3 linked regions of the Danio rerio genome follow. Each later gene encodes a partner of the first gene's protein in a complex. Links are inferred from orthologs where the notes say so. Each region holds a gene or a part of one and is shown in the gene's direction. Other genes may lie near its edges.

Region 1 (6,625 bases):
GCATATGCAAGCTGGGACATGCAATCTCAGACACAATGCACTCAATAGAGCTAGTGACGTCTTTGTGAGGAGTAAGGGTTAAGAGCGGGGATTAGGTGTGCGCTTCAAAAGCATCGCATCCAGCTCAGTTTGCATACGTTTGAAATTGCATCATGTCTGGTGTCAGCCATCTTGGTATTCCTGTTTTAAAGAACTTTGAATGGACTGGGATGTTAGCAAAATATCTGGTTGTGCCAGTAGAGTATTTTTATCCACATGCAATTTTCTTCATTCATTCATTCATTTATTCATTTTCAACTGCTTTTCTGGGTCGCGGGGGCAGCAGCCTTAAGGTCTTCCCTCTCCCCAGACACTTCCTCCAGCTCCTCCGTGGGGATCCCGAGGCGTTCCCAGGCCAGCCAAGAGACACAGTCCCTCCAGCGTGTCCTAGGTCTTCCTCAAGGCCTCCTCCCGGTGGGACATGTCTGGAACACCTCCCTAGGTAGGTGTCCAGGAGGCATCCGAAACAGATGCCCAAGCCACCTCAGCTGACTTCTCTCGATGTGGAGGAGCAGTGGTTCTACTCCGAGCTCCTCCTGGTTGACAGAGCTCCTCACCCTATCTATAAGGGTGAACCCTGCAACCCTGCGAAGGAAACTCATTTTGGTAACTTGTATCCGAGATCTTGTCCTTTCGGTCAGGACCCAAAGCTCATGACCATAGGTAAGAGTAGGATTGTAGATTGACCGGTAAATCGAGAGCTTTGCCTTTCGACTTAGCTACTTCTTTACCACAACGGACAAGTACATTGACCGCATTACTGCTGCCGCTGCACCAATCCGCCTCTCTCATGCTCCATCCTTCCCTCACTCGTGAACAAAACCCCAAGATGCTTGAGCTCCTCTACCTGGGGTAAAGACTTTCCTCCAACCTGAAGATGGCAAAACAACTTTTTCTGGTGGAGCACCATGGCCTCGGACTTGAAAGTGCTGATTCAGATCCTAGATGCAATCATCTAAAACAGGCAATAAACTTTATAACTTCAACTCTGTCATTGTAAAAATACAGTGATCAGTTCATCTGCATAAGGTGAAGAGGTCATGACAGTAATGAACAGCATGATGAACGCTAACGCTATAACTGTGGATGGCATCACAAAAGCAGTGATGTGATGCTTTGGTCATTTTGACCCAATTGGATATGTTAAATAATCGAGCATTAAAATTTGTTTGTTTTTATATTTGATGTTACTTATTAAGCTGCGTTTTACAGGGAAGGGAATTGGGATTTTGGCTCTGTAGTTATATCAGGAAGTTTGTCATAAAGGTTTAGAAAGTATAGTTTTATTCTGTTGAGGTGAATATTGTCAAAGAATGACCCAAAATGGATTTATACAAATATTTTAATATGTCTAAACTGTGGTCTTTACCCGGCCTATGAGTACGAAGGAAATCACTTCATGAAGATGAATCTTTGTTAGGGTGAAATACTGTATATTTTATTGCATTGTAATATATGATTTAAAAATGTTTATGTAAATAAAATATATTATATAAAATATGCCCCTGTATTAATAATGAAAAATGTTCTCATTTCTTTGGTTCTTTCTCTTTTTTCCCCTCATATGTATTAAAAAATGTCATTTTAGAAGGGGGGCTTAGTAGTAGTGGCTCAGTGGTTAGCATTGTCGCCTCACAGCAAGAAGGTCGCTGGTTCGAAGCACAGCTGGGTCAGTTGGCATTTCTGTGTGGAATTTGCATGTTCTTCTCTTGTTCGCGTGGGTTTCCTCCACAGCAAGGTTATTATAGTTTTGGATTTTTTATTGGTTTTAGTTTTTATTTTGTTTTGACTTTTTGTTTTCAAAATCAGTTTTAATTAGTTTTTAGAGGTAGATTTACTAGTTTTTATTAGTTTCCATATTTTATAGTTGCTTAGTTTTGTTTATTTATTTATTTATTTTTGCACATTGGGATATTTGCTATGTACAAGATTCAAAATCAATAAATATTGTACAAAATACAATAAATATTGTAAAATAAAAACTCAACAATAATTTTTTGAAACATGTTTTCACAGGACACATGACCACTATCATCTACCACTACCACCTACTCATCTTCAAATTCAAATACAACAGCCCACAAGATAGCCTTAAGTAAAATCGTGTGCATGGCTGCCTCTAAGGTTAGACACACAGTAGTGATGGGAAGTTCAGATCTTTAATTCATTCCGCTTTAGCAACCTCTGATGAATAAAGGGACTAAGCTGAAGGAAAATGAATGAATGTAAGTTAAGTGTACTCTACTTGCTTTTCTCTTTTCTGTTTGTTTTTATTTTTTTCTTGTTTGTTTACAATGCACTCTAATTGTACCTGCTTTTCGTTTTTCTTAGCTTTTTTCATTCTTTTTTCTTTGTTTATTTAAAATACAGTATAATTTAGTGTAATCTGTGATAGGCTATATTTTTAATTGATCAAATTTTACTTTTCATGAAAAAAATACTGTTGTTTGTTTTAAAAAATCAGTCATATTTGTAGTGAAGAAAATTACAACCTACACAATTTTAGCGAAAGTTTAGTGCGGACTTCTTTTCTATATATATATTTTTTGATTAACCCCAATGGTGACAAATGTACTTCCGTCAAGGGATTGACATGACGTGCGTGTCATCCAATGAGCTGACAGGATAAGGCGGGCTTTGAAGCGAACAACCAATCAATTAAGCAAAATAGATTACGCACTTTCACTGCGACAGCGTTTTACGCTACCGAGATCGCTTGTGTACCTCGATAGAAGTCTTTTTGTGTAATGCGTTCATGACAGTTATATTAATGTGTGGAAACATACAAAACTGAATACGAGAAACACTTAAGTGCTGCAGAGAAACAATACCAGCAAACATGAAGTAAGTAAACGGTAAATTTTAACTGTTAACGTTAGCATTGCTGCAAATCTGCAGACTGGTAATGGCCCAAACCGCTGTTCATTTAACACAAGTTTTGTTTTTCCTCTAACGTTAATGTCTATTTGATCCTATTAGGCTGAATATCGACGGGTTATTAGTCTACTTTCCGTATGACTACATCTATCCCGAACAATACTCGTATATGCTTGAGCTGAAGAGGACGCTGGATGCAAAGGTATTTATACACAGACACTCATACATTAAACTAATGTTGTATCATGTAACAACATAGACCATTTTCAGGGATGTAAACCAAAACAATGGTCTCAATGTATTTCATGTTTTCCATTTGTAATGTCCATACTTTCTGAGATTTTAAAAAGAGCCATATATTGTAAAATAATGTCATGATAGCGGTTTTAACATTAAATTATGATTTAATTGTCTCATGTTACAGTTATGAAATAGTTTGAAACAAGCAGAAAATGTTCATGGGCCAAAGATATCACCACATTGAAGTGATCTATATTAACATTGTGGCTGGATGTTTTGACATAGGCCAAAAGATGCATCTATAGTTGATACACAACTAATTTAAAGTGTATTTTTTGTTCCTTCTTACAGCGTTATTTTTACAATTGAGGTAAAGTTGGTTTTATATTAGCACATTCGTTCAGTGACATGCTCCCTTTATTGTTTACCATGGTAATTTGAATATTCAGAGTGAAATCCTATTAAAGTATGACTTCAAAACAACATTAGCTATATGTTTTTAGGCAGTGAACAATGTTGTACTTTGATAGTCATGGTAATAAGATTTCCCTATTTAGAGTTTGCTAAAATATTTTTCTAAAAATATGATATTAGGGAAAAAGACTGAATGTGTGGGTATAAAACCAACTTTACTGTTTTAATTGAGATAAAGTTGGTTTTATACTCACACATTTGTTCAGTGACATGCTCCCTTTTTGTTTACCATGGTACTTTGAATATTTGGTCTGCAATCCTAGGTAAGTATGACTTCAAAACAACATTAGCAATCTTTTTTTGTATAGTGAAATGTGGTCTTAAGGTTTGCTGGTTTAAGAGTTGGTTCAGGTAAAAAGTGTAATTATAAATGTACTTACAGAATTTAATTACAGATGTAATTACATGCAGATATTTAATCAAGCATAAGTACAATGTAAAATCATATATTTACTCATTAAGTAAAGTGTAACGAATGATTCAATTTCAGTGTAAGTTCATGTTAGTAAAGGCCACTTAATATAAAGTGGGACCGAAAAATTTTCTGAAAATATTTTTAGAGAGAAAGACTGAATGTGTGAATATAAAACCAGCTTTACTCTAATATTTTTATTGAGGTAAAGTTGGTTTTATATTCGCATAATCGTTCCGTGACATCCTCCCTTTATTTTTTACCATGGTACTTTGAATATTTGGTCTAAAATCCTATGTAAGTATGACTTCAAAACAATCTTTTTTGTACAGTGAACAGTGTTGTACTTTAAAAGTCATTGGATGCTATTATGGTTTCCCTATAAATATGAATTTGCAAAGAATATTTTTCTGAAATGTATATTATTAGGGAGAAAGACCAAATGTGTGGATTTATAGGTTATCATGATGCTACTGCCCTAATTTAATTGCCCCTGGTGGGAATAATAAAGTTCACCACATCATTTTTAGTCTGATTATGAATGCATTTTTTGTAATCTCGCATTATCTGAGATGTTGGATGGGATGTTTATGTTAAACAGAGCCATGACTGAGTGAAAGTAAAAAGCAATAAAAAACAAAAAAAAATTGTTTGTCTTATGTATAGTTGTTTCATATTTTGTTTTTATTATGTGTGTAAAGGGTCATGGAGTTCTGGAGATGCCCTCAGGAACAGGAAAAACTATTTCTCTTCTTTCGCTCATCGTTGCTTACCAGAAGGTGACGGATTTTGATCGACGATTAAATATTTGAATACTTTATTAAATGACAGTCTGATGGCTTTAAAAATATCCCTGATTTATATATATAATTATATATATATATATATATATATATATATATATATATATATATATATATATATATATATATATATATATATATATATATATAATGTTTAATCTCTTACAGACTTACCCTTTAGAAGTCACCAAGCTCGTGTACTGCTCTCGCACGGTGCCTGAGATAGAGAAGGTATTTTGTTGACTGACTTGATATAGATGTTTATTACCTTTTATACATTTTTTTTTGCTTTCTAAATACACATGTCGTATGTTAATTTTTATTTTATGCATCTTTCATTTACCTGCAGGTTGTGGAGGAGCTAAGGAAACTGATGGATTATTACTCAAAGCAAACGGGAGTAAAAAACGACTTCCTCGCCCTTGCACTTTCCTCGAGGAAAAACCTGTGCATTCATCCTGAGGTAGAGGCCGCTGAATGGGCAGATTTGTCTGTGATTTCAGTAAAATCTGTGCTGTGATCTTATTAAAAAGTACTGAATGTGTGACTACAGGTGAGCTCTCTGCGTTTTGGAAAAGAAGTAGATGGAAAATGTCACAGTCTGACAGCATCGTATATTCGAGCGCAGCATCAGAGTAACCCAAATCAGCCTGTCTGCCAGTTTTATGAGGTGGGACACATTTCCTAAGCATATACAATCATGGCACAGTTTTTCTTACTTTTTATTTTATTTTTTTCTAGTGTAAAGTGTATTTTTTCTTTCTATTTTTGCTGTTTCTTTCTATATTTTAATGTTTTTTAAAAAGTATAATAATAATAAACACATTTAAACAAAAAAAAATAATGATAGCTTGAAATTGGTTCCTGTTTGCAGGAATTTGATAATGTAGGCAGACAGGTGCCCATTCCCCCTGGTATATATAATTTGGACGATCTGAAGGACTTTGGGCGTAGAAAAGGCTGGTGTCCTTACTTCCTGGCACGTTACGCAGTGAGTACTTTGCTAAGGTTAATATAATGTGCAATTGCTGTGCATGTAATTTATTTCACTCTCTCATATGTTCCTTTATTCAGCTTCTTCACGCAAACATAGTAGTGTACAGCTACCATTACTTACTAGATCCGAAAATCGCAGACTTGGTCTCGAAAGAGCTCGCAAAGAAATCAGTTGTCGTGTTCGATGAGGCTCACAACATTGGTGAGTAGCACATTTCAATATTTATCACTGTGATTTATACATCATGTGGACTAGATTATTGTTATTTAAGCTCATATTGTTTTCTTTTAGATAATGTGTGTATTGATTCCATGAGCGTCAACATCACCAGGAGGACACTGGATCGCTGCCAAACCAATGTGGAAACCCTTCAAAACACCATTAGCAGGTGTGACAAAAGAGTGGGAATTAATAAGCAACCTCTGCATTTCTTAATGCCTTTAATGTGTTTAATGTCCTGCATTCTGCTTGTTGTCTTTTAAAGAATTAAAGAAACAGATGCTGCCAAACTTCGAGAAGAATACAGAAGATTAGTCGAGGGTCTTAAAGAAGCTAATGTTGCCAGAGAAACTGACATTTATCTGTCCAATCCAGTTCTGCCTGATGAAATCCTGCAAGGTCAGATTTTGTTATCTAACAACTTACAAATCATATAGACTTTAAAAAAAAATAATAAATTAAGTGAAGTTTATTTATAAACTAATTTCCAGAGATCACCTGCTTATGATTGATTACAGGTGGTCCTGCATTAGCCAATTCATTCCTTTTCTTTTCGGCCTAGTC
Region 2 (5,321 bases), on another chromosome or scaffold:
AAATCCAGGCATAACACTATGACAGGTATGACAACGCTTCAGATGACTGTTAGCCAACAGTTAATCAATCTGTCAGATTCTGGAGTGCATTACAGCTATAATGAATATAATAAATGAACTTAAAAAAACAAATACATTTATAGAGATGGGATATAAATATATAATTTTACTCACCTGGGAAATTAAGGCCACTTTAACAGTTTGTGAGCACAATTAAGTGCACACAGCATGCCATACTATCTGATAATTGTAGGAAATAATTCCAAAAGACAAATGACTGTGTAAAGCCAAAAAAAAACAATAATAAAAATACAATGTATATGCCAAGTTCAGCAGCTAATCAGTCGGAATCAGCTGAGGTGAAGTGACGTGACCAGCAAAAGACACTCAAGTGGCCACTCCCTTAATTATGCAGACTTAATTAAACCTAATAAATGCTAAACGGATGAGTAATAAAAAAATTCAGCCCCTCACAGTTGTCATGAAGAGTAGTATTAGCTATAAGCACCAAAACCATCTATTGTACCAGGCTTTAAACATGTTTTTATCAGCTGTAAAATTGGCCAGTTTAGCATTGCAGTCAGAGAACATGTGGAGTTGCTGGAGCAAGCCCCCAGAGGAGAGTCTATGTATTTTGTATTGGCTTCCCAATGGAGAGCCGGAGGTTGCTGCTTGGTTTTTACAGCGTACATAAGACGCCCTTATTCTGAAGTGTTGTAAAAGCTAAAATATAAGATGGTTTTGGGATATACATAATAATCATATTGCTATTAGCATTATATGTGCATAATATGTGTTATACATGTAGAGCTTTGCATGGTCAAGCACCCCAATATATTCAAGATCTATGGAACTCTCTCCCTATAGCACTGAGAACTCTGGGATCAGTTGATCTTTTTAAAAAGCATTTAAAGACGCATTGTTTTGGTCAAGCATTTAATTCATAGTATTAGTGTTTCTGTATTTGGATTTTTTACTTGTTTTAATGTGTTTTAACATGTTTTCTTTTATTGATATGTGTTCTTTTACTTGTTTTCTCTAATTGTAAAGCTATTTGTTACTCAACGTCTAGGAAAGGTGCTACATAAATAAATATTTTCTTGCTTACTTACTTTTACTTTTTAAAGATTATACCTCACACATTTTGAAGGAGTTTTCTCAACACCAGCCCGCCACTAAAACAAAAGAAGAAGAAAGTTTTCGTATGTTGCTCATTTCGCTTCACGGAACGTTTCCTATAACCTTGTTTTCACCCGAGCGTGTTAGAAAGACGCAACACGGAAGTCTATCTGTTATAAGCCGCGCAAGAGGAACGTGTGTAGCGTGCGAGATTGTTTTGGTAATGTTTTCTAATTTGCTCGCTTCTTTAGTCAAAATGAGAGGGTGTAATATTTGGGGTTTAGTTTTGAGTTCGCATATAAGGAAATAATCTCGAGCTGAACCGCACTGTCACGTATTCAGTGTTACTGTATGTTGCTGTAGACTGCTTCAGTGTTACATTCTTGTGTACATTTATAGCTCAACATCTATTAAGTTACTGAGTTTTGTGTTACTTGTATTCGTTATTACGCAGTCTGAATTGCACAAACTTGTGTGTTATTAAATAAACCTCTACATTTTTTTTTCAATTCAGGCAACTCGTCCTTCATCATGATCATCCCTGTTCGCTGCTTCACTTGTGGGAAAATTGTTGGGAACAAATGGGAGGCGTATTTGGGTCTCCTTCAAGCGGAGTATACAGAAGGGTACGTTTATGAAACTAAAATGTGTCCTAAATTCGTTTGTTTATTTATTTATTTATTTGTTTGTTTGGCTAAGGAGTAAAGCACTCCTTACTAGTCCTCTTTACTAACTTTAGTCAAAATATTGTGTTTGGGGTGCTCATGCGGACCGGTTGACTGGCAGCACGAATTTTGCCAGATTAATATGATTAATGTTATTATACAGATTACTATTATTATTAACAAAATAAAGCCAGCATTGGCCTTACATACAAGCATCAAACCAAACTGAATTTAAACAGATTTATTAAAAACCTGAAAAACGACTCTAAGTTAAAGATTAATTGTGATTAGCCACATCCAAAATAAAAGTTTGTTTTGACATAAGCAATACTTGTGCATTATATATATTTATATAATTATTGTGTATGTGAAATACACTCATGCATAAAGGTATAGATTTTGCATAGATATTTAAAATTTATTATTTGCATCATATATATTTTATATGTAAATATAAATAATTATTTCCTTAAATGTATGCATCTTTATGTTTATATGTCCATAATAAGCATACACAATACACACACGTATTATGTAAAAAAAAAAAAAACATTTTTTTATGCGATTAATCACGATTAATTTTCCCCCAGCACTATGTGAAATACATCTTATAATTGAAAAACACCTGCAGCTAAAACAAACATTTTTAAGGAAATCTTTTATACATCAGCTATGACTATATTGAACAAATGACCATGAAGTAGTTTATATGTTGTTCTGTGACACTGTGAATCTGTTTGTGGTTTTAGAAACAGGGTTGTGTGTTGGTAATCCATGGTGTAGGAAGCCATATGATGTTTAGTAACATTTTGTGAGGCCAAATATGAATTTCCACATGTGTGGACAATAAAGACTGCTCATCTTTCTAATTAGAATTCTAATCTTTGGTCATACAGGCACATAGAAAAGCACCTTGTTATTTAAGTAATTCCCACAGCACTAAATTTCATTTAAAAAAAAAGTGCTGCTAGTTAATTATTATGGCTCAGATCATTATTTTGTCTGATTTTTTTCTTTTGTGGCAAGTTGCCATGTTATAAGTAAGATAATGTACTTACAATTGGCTATGCAAAAAAGCCATTCAGTCTTATAGGGCCATGAAACCTCCTTGTTTCAGAGGGTGTTTTCACACCTCTACTTTGGAAAAAGTCAGGAAAGTGGGCGTGTCCAGCTCTGTTTAGGAGGGAGTGTCGGAGGAGCAAATTAAAGAGGGTTCTGTAAAAATTTGCATAAAAATGGGAGTGTCATTTTGGGCACGTGCTGATTTTCAGAGTCAAAACACACACACACACACACACACAGGGGAGAAAGACTGACTGTGTTTACGTGGACATCAGTAATCAAATTATTTGACAAATTATTAAATGGTGGACATTAACTGCAGTTTGGCTCTTTTATTCAGGGAATATCTTCATGCCCCTCGTGACAAACGAGGTATTTGATTTGAGGAACTGCTCTAAGCTTGTATCTTTCATGCAATGTTTGATACGGCACAGCAAATGAGGGAAAAAAAACCTCTGAATTTCTCAATAACTTAGATGCACTCGGCAGGTAGGGTCAGAAAGTCGTGTGTGTTACTCCTGTCACAAAATGCAGTGAAAATCCTACACGATGGTAAGTTTGATTGTGGTGCTAACATGTTCACACTCCGTGTAACAGTTAGTTCGATACAAACTAACTTTGCCATCTGAAAAAGCAAAGGGCACTGTTCGCTCCCTTATCAAATCTGTAGAGACAGGACAAACAACACCAACTAGAGCCGCGTCTTTATTAAGAGGAGACGAGCGGCAAATCCGGATCTCACCATTTCCAGATGAGAAAAGTTCTCGGGTAAAAAAAAAAAAAAGTTCCTTAGACATGCATTGTTGTCGCATGCACTGTAATCCACACGTGGTCCAGCTGTGCGCTCATACAGAGAAAATGAAAACAAAACCTTCACTGCAGCAAATTATAAAAGCAACCCTTCACGCTTGTTTTGCCAACATAATGTGGCGTCTCTGCTGTCTGAACACTGTAACATTAATGAATGTTAGTGAAGTTGCACAATAGAGTGCGCTGATTGGTTTGAACCGAATCTTACTCGTGCATTAATGCAGCACACTTATAGACGTAATAAGACACTCCCAGGTACAGACGTCCAGTCTACACGCTGGAATACACGCTAAGATCTCATGGCCGTGACGCAGCTTAAAAAAATTGTTACAAACCGGAAGTACGAATTAGCTAGAAATAACGCAAAAACAACCAATTTTCACTTTTTAGTGAGATATATGTGTCTTAATAGTGTTTTTAGCAGTGTGGGACACTTATATGACTGTCAACAGCTCAAAAAATGTGTTTTGGTGTTTTGTGACCCTTTAAAAAATAGATTTTGTTTTTCATGAACAACTGGCTAGATGCATATTATCCTTTAAACCTTGTGCTGCAGGAGATGTTTTCATCTGCTTTGGGTGATTTTAAAGCTTAATTACGCCCCAACTTTCTCTGTTTCAGCAAATTGAATTATTTTTGGAGACAAATCTTATTTTGACACGCATTTTGGGAAAATGCTTTGAAAAGTTTTAAGACGTTTAACAATTACACTCTGGGCAAATTGACTACCCTTTCATTATGTTGCTGGCTGTTTTTACCCAATTTACTTCCATTGTAATGACATTTTTATGATTGCAAATTCATGACACCATATAATCATGCATTCTTGATTGTTGGAGGTTTTCCCTATTGGGAAGAGATAATTTTTGCCGATGATCATCAGTTGGCAGCATTAACCCTTTAGATAGGCTTGTGCAACAGAAGTTTCTGGCTTTTATATGGAATTCTGTGGAGAAAAACAACTAATTATAAAAGTGCATGCATAAATACACTTACTATGTTAACTATGCTCTGAGAGCTGATCAGCTGGTTTTGATTTTCTCCGATATATCAAGATAAGTGTGCAAAGGTCTCTCTCTTACACACACCATATACTCCATATAAAAACCAGGAACTAAGAATGTTTGCTCTGCAACCTGTTGATCAATTGTAAAAATTGATTCCTGCATCCTAACAGGGAAACCAGCTATATTTAAGAGTGCATGATTATATGGTTTCATGGCTTTGCAATCAAAAAATGTCATTATAATGAAAGTCGATGGGGAAAAAACAGCCTCAAACATAACGAAAGTGTAGTCAATTTGCCCAGAGTGTAATTGTTGAATTTTTGAAAATTTTCACAGCATTTTCCCAAAATATGAGAAAATAAGATTGTCCCCAAAAATCTTAACATTTTCTGAAACGGAGAAAGTTGTGGCCAAATTTAGGGTGTACTCACATTAGGTACTGTACAGTTGCCTTGAACCATGCCGAAGCGCGATTGTCCCATCGTACTGCACTCACATTGCATTTTTTAGCTACCGAACCTGAGCATGCATGCGTCATCGATGATGTGACTGTTCAGTTTAACAGAAAAAAGCTCAGCACTGGGGAGATTGCTTTAGTTATATCGTTTGAGTGTCACGCAGTCCAACATTTCCACGAGAAGATCAGCCACTTTTGACG
Region 3 (5,205 bases), on another chromosome or scaffold:
ATTTTTTTCTGGAGAAAGTTTTGTTTGTTTTATTTTGGCTAGAATAAAAACGTTTTTTAATTTTTTAAAATCAATTTTAAGGTCAAAATTATTAGCACCTTTAAGCTATATGTTTTGATAGTTTACAGAACAAACCATCATTATACAATATCTTGGCTATACTCTAACCTGCCTACCCAGTTAGCCAAGTTAAGCCTTGAAATGTCACTTTAAGCTACTTTTAGGCAAACCTGTCACCGTTTATTTAATATCACAAATGTCAATAAACTTAATATTCCTCAAAACACTGAAAACATAATAACAGTTTGATTGTTAAATTAGATGTAGTTGAATGAAATATATGAATTGGGTTCACTAAGGCATATTACTGAACATAACTACAAAATCTTGACCAACCCCCACCCCCGTCAATGTATAATTTGCACCCTGCCCGTAGGCTATACAGAAGACTGAAAGTTTATAACAACATGTTCGTTACTTTTTTACTTTTTTCCTTATTAAAAAGTAATAATATATATAATAATATAAGGCTCTGCCTTAATTCTTCGTTTATCTCTGTTCCTCTCATTGTGTGCGGGATTTAATGTTGTCAGCAAATTTTTTTAAAGTTAATTAACTTAATTTAAAAAAGTAACTCACATTCCATTTTTTAAAAAAGTAACTCAGATATTGTTACTTAATTTTGAAAAGTAATGCGTTACTTTACTCGTTACTTAGAGAAGTAATATTATTATTTAACTCGCGTTACTTGTAATGCGTTACCCGCAACAATGCATGTAAAGCATATTAAAAGATTTTACTGAATGCACGATAGTATTTTCTCTCAGAAACATTGTAATGAGGGAGAAATAAGGCTGTTACACTTTTACATTGATTAAAACATAATTTCGTCTTAAATCTGGTCTCATAAAAAATTATCAAGCTTAATAATCAACAACTGCAAATAGCGTAACATTAAGTTAGTTTCTTATGCAGGAAAAAACCTCTTGTCTGTTTTGGTCGCGCCTCCGCAGCGAATGATCTAGGATCAGCTGACTGCACGGTAAGAGCTCTCGTCGAGATCTCGCGATGTTTCGCTCAATGCCCGCTTGACCCTGCCCTGTGTCTCGCGCAGCTCCGTATATAAAGGCGGAGGACTGGAGAAGACGGACGGCTGGGGAGCTGCAGCCCTGGGACTGTGAATAAGACCGTAAAGAGCTGTGTTTTTATTTCCCGAAACTTTAACCGTCAACTTTTTAAACGTTTTAGATGTTTCCGTGCTTTTTTTAATGCTTCTGGGGCTCCTTGCTTGATATTCGCGGTGTGTTTTTCCCCCTCACTGCGCTCATAATGGCGAGCTCGGCTAACTCGAACCAAGTGGTAAGGATCAGACAAACGGCACTCATTCTCGAAATCACACACGTGTCCAAGCATTGTAGATATATATATATATAGAGAGAGATACGCAGAACATTTTAACCAAACCCACATGTTTATTTCAACAATAAAGCGTTTAGACACACGTACACCTATCAGGTCTGCTCCAGTCGAGGGCTTTGTAGGGAAGTGTGTGAGTGTTTGCTGATTATATAGAGAAAGAAAACAACACAGTGGCTTGAATCCACAGCTTTAAGTATTACGTGCTAGAAATTGCATTTCTGTTGAGCTAACACGGACTTGCTGCTTTGTTGCCGTGTTTGACCATTCAGTCATCCGAGTATACGTCGATATTAGTTTGTTACTAAAGCACCCTTTGATCCCGACAAATGCATCTGAAATTGAGCCAAAACGGCTCGTTTTTGTATGTATATCAGGATATAAGTTTTGTCCTGCGTGTTAAAAACCTTCCTACATAATTTGAATCTTAATATTCATCCCCCCAAAAAATATATAAAACTGAATCCCTTGGTTATAAACCCTCATACGAGACGTTTTTCACGTTCACGGAAGCCTCCGCAGTGCAGGCGATGCTGTTTCATCATGGCTACCGTTGCCTCTGACCCTCCTTCTTTCCGTCGCTGGTTTTATACAGCCATAGCGACGCTCTAATATAGACTGCCCGGGATGGGAAGGTGCTTCTCGGCGCTACGTCACGGGCTGTGCATATAAACGCCAGACTGTGCTTTAAATAGTGAGCGGACCGGCCGCGCGGTACGGACAAGACGTGATGCGGGGAGCTGCTCTTCGCTTTTAGCGATACAACATTAACGATGGTGTTTATTAGACACAGAAGGACCTTTTTTACTCATATCGCGTCGACAGCTGCCGGAAGCGCATGCGTTTCAGGGTTGTTTTTCGGTTTCGTCGCACGCGTTTATCAGAGTTTTAAAGGGTGCTGCTATTTCTGTGCTCTCAAAACGGATGATTCGCGTTCCGACAGTCAGCAACCGCATTGGACATGTTAAAGAAGCCCATGTGTGTATTTATAGGGCTTCCAGCAGTCCAAATGCTGAACGGGACGTCGGACTCGTGTCCGCGGATGTCATTTGAACGATTCATTACAAAGAATCGCTACAAAAACACATCGGTGTTTTTGTTACGTAGTTACGTCATGCATTGTGTTGTTTGAATCCCTGACGTGCTTTAATTAGTACACTACTGTAACAAACTGTACAATAAAGACAAGTGTAGAATATATTTGTTTATTACCCCCTTTTTTGTATTTGTCAACCACCAAAAGTCTTTAGGCACACATTTGAGTAATAATGTATAGATACAAGTCGATATAGCTGTGTATATACACGGATATATAATTGCCTATATGGGGAAAAATGACTGAAGTTCGTATTTCTAAGTTTGCCTGGACTTCATTTTTAGTGATGTTTGAGTAATTTTATTCTTCTTCAGAAATGTCTTGACTTTTTAAAAAAGCAAAATAACAAAAGTATACCAGAGCAATTCCATGCAATGTCAACCTTGCCATGAAAAATGAAGCTACAACCAAAATAGGGAAACTGTTTCTACATTTTTGGTGTAAGCAAGAATATTACAGTACTAAAAAATAAAAAAAAATGTTTGTCTTTGTTTTCAAGGAGTTATTTGATTAAGCGCAGTTACACAAGTGCCAATTTCACATCTGTCCTATCCATAACGGAGATGTCACATCCATAATGAAGCTTTCCCTCATAAATGCTAAAACGTCGATTAAAATAAAATCAATCATGTTTATTCTATAGTGGGCCAGCTCTTATCCTTTTGATTACCATTATTTCTCTTGGGTTGTGCAGTTTAATTGACAGAATTTCTACAAAGTATGTTTGTACTGTAAACTCGCTAACTTTTTTTGGTCACATCCATAACACGTTTATTTTTCTCATTTAAAATATATACAATGTATACAGATAGATATTTTATCTGATCCAATAACTCTGTTTGGTAGTTTTGAAAAATATAAACAAATGTTATTAAATGTTAACATATACTTTCTTAATAAATTAAAGTTTTGGGTTTTTGCTGCTAATGTCACATCCATAATGCTGGAATTGATCGCCATTCTGTCAGATTCTTAATTTTATATCTTCTATTAATCATCTAAAAGCAACTTTACACATAGATTTTCAATTTTTATTAAAGGAAATCCTAAATTGTTTCAATATTTTGAACAGTTGTCCATTTTGGCTAAATAAATGTCTTAATGATGATAATGACATTTAAATGTTCATACATTTGAACCAAGTGTAAGGATGTAATTTCATTGTTTTTTTTAGCATTCCTCAAGCTGCCAAAGATCATTGTAAAATGCTACTTTTATGCTGAAATACTTATAATAAATGAATGAAGTAATGCTTAACATTCATAGGAACCATCATAAAGCAGTTCCAGCATTCTGGATGTGGCATTTGCAGTAGAAACATATAAATTCACATATGTTAACATTATATTGAAACATCTGTTTATATTTTTCAACAACTAACCACAGAGTTATAGTATGAGGAAAATATTAATCTGTGAAAATGTTTTGAGGAAAATAAACGTGCATTATGCATGTGACCAAAAAAGTTAGTGAGTTTACAGTATAAAACATACTATGTAGAAATTATGTGAATTAAATTGCACAACCCAAAAGAAACAATGCTTATCAAAAGGATAAGAGGTGGCTCTCTGTAGAACAAGCAAGATTGACTTTATTTTATTAAATAGTTTTGCATTCATGAGGGAAAAGCTTGGTTATGGATGTCTCATATATGAAATTACCACTCATGTGACTTTGTTAAATCAAATATAATTGTTTTAAAAACATCAACGACATTTGAGCATTTCTAAAGTACTCTAAAATACTTACTTAATGCTTACACAAAAAAATGTAGAAACAGTTTCAGTGTTTTGGTAAAAATTGCTCCAATTAATAATTGAGCTGATCATGAATAATCATAAAAGAACAGCAAATTGTCAAAATAGAGTGATTGATTTCTAATGTTTCATGTGACACTGGAGTAATGATGCTGGAAATTCAGTTTTGCATCACAGACAGGAATAAAGTGCATTTATAAATAACATTTAAATGTTTTTGTTTTTAATATCTCACAATAGTTGTTACATAATATATATAACACAACATTGTTATAATTTGATACAACCTTCATGGAAGTATTCACATTGTTTATAAATATGCATGTACTTGCTAATGGATATTTAGGAGTCAGAAATGTCAGAAATATGAACAAATCTATCATATTCTGATATACGGTATTTAGGGTTTCTGCAGGGCCTTAAAATGCCTCTCAAAATCCAAATTTTAGGCCTTAACAGTCTTGAATTTAGTGAAATATTTTGTTGTAGGTCTTAAATCTTTTAAACGGGTCTTAATTTTCCTTTGTTCATGTATACCTACCCAGTCTGGCCAAAACCCATACAATCACCAACAATCCATCTCAATAAAACTATAAACTTTGTATATAAAAAGGTCATTTTTAACTCTATCTTAACGATTTAAATATTTTCCTTACAATAACATTTGTTTAAAGGTTCTTCATCTATTTACTGCCGAGGACACCGACAGATTGTTGTCCATAGATTTAGTGTATTTTTTAATTTAAAGAAGGTTTATGTTGGGGAAAAATACAAGAGATTGTTTGTTTTTACACAATATTTAAAATATTTAGCTTAGAAAAAAAATAATACATTTGAATAGTTCATTATTGTGTTATTAAATGTACTGAATTATAGTTTTTTTTTTTTTTGAGAGGTCAAATAAAAAAACTTTTCCATCTGGGCCATTTAAAAATT

What was found. Proteins that work in one complex are often made in the same cells at the same time.
Region 2: ercc2 (region 1) and polr2l share a complex: the UniProt entries of both Homo sapiens proteins name them as parts of the TBP-based Pol II pre-initiation complex. The link is inferred for Danio rerio from reciprocal best matches to the Homo sapiens genes ERCC2 and POLR2L.
Region 3: ercc2 (region 1) and gtf2a1 share a complex: the UniProt entries of both Homo sapiens proteins name them as parts of the TBP-based Pol II pre-initiation complex. The link is inferred for Danio rerio from reciprocal best matches to the Homo sapiens genes ERCC2 and GTF2A1.

Annotation. Positions count from the first base shown.
Region 1 is NC_133190.1:26,155,227-26,161,851, reverse strand, and holds the start of ercc2 (general transcription and DNA repair factor IIH helicase subunit XPD), read left to right. Parts: upstream 1-2,691; 5' UTR 2,692-2,878; coding exon 2,879-2,883; intron 2,884-3,018; coding exon 3,019-3,118; intron 3,119-4,743; coding exon 4,744-4,821; intron 4,822-5,013; coding exon 5,014-5,076; intron 5,077-5,194; coding exon 5,195-5,308; intron 5,309-5,398; coding exon 5,399-5,515; intron 5,516-5,719; coding exon 5,720-5,836; intron 5,837-5,919; coding exon 5,920-6,043; intron 6,044-6,133; coding exon 6,134-6,230; intron 6,231-6,326; coding exon 6,327-6,460; intron 6,461-6,625. UniProt on the Homo sapiens protein: ATP-dependent 5'-3' DNA helicase. Component of the general transcription and DNA repair factor IIH (TFIIH) core complex, not absolutely essential for minimal transcription in vitro.
Region 2 is NC_133182.1:13,340,304-13,345,624, reverse strand, and holds the start of polr2l (DNA-directed RNA polymerases I, II, and III subunit RPABC5), read left to right. Parts: upstream 1-1,265; 5' UTR 1,266-1,339; intron 1,340-1,633; 5' UTR 1,634-1,650; coding exon 1,651-1,745; intron 1,746-5,321. UniProt on the Homo sapiens protein: DNA-dependent RNA polymerase catalyzes the transcription of DNA into RNA using the four ribonucleoside triphosphates as substrates.
Region 3 is NC_133195.1:17,672,199-17,677,403, reverse strand, and holds the start of gtf2a1 (transcription initiation factor IIA subunit 1), read left to right. Parts: upstream 1-1,149; 5' UTR 1,150-1,329; coding exon 1,330-1,359; intron 1,360-5,205. UniProt on the Homo sapiens protein: TFIIA is a component of the transcription machinery of RNA polymerase II and plays an important role in transcriptional activation. TFIIA in a complex with TBP mediates transcriptional activity.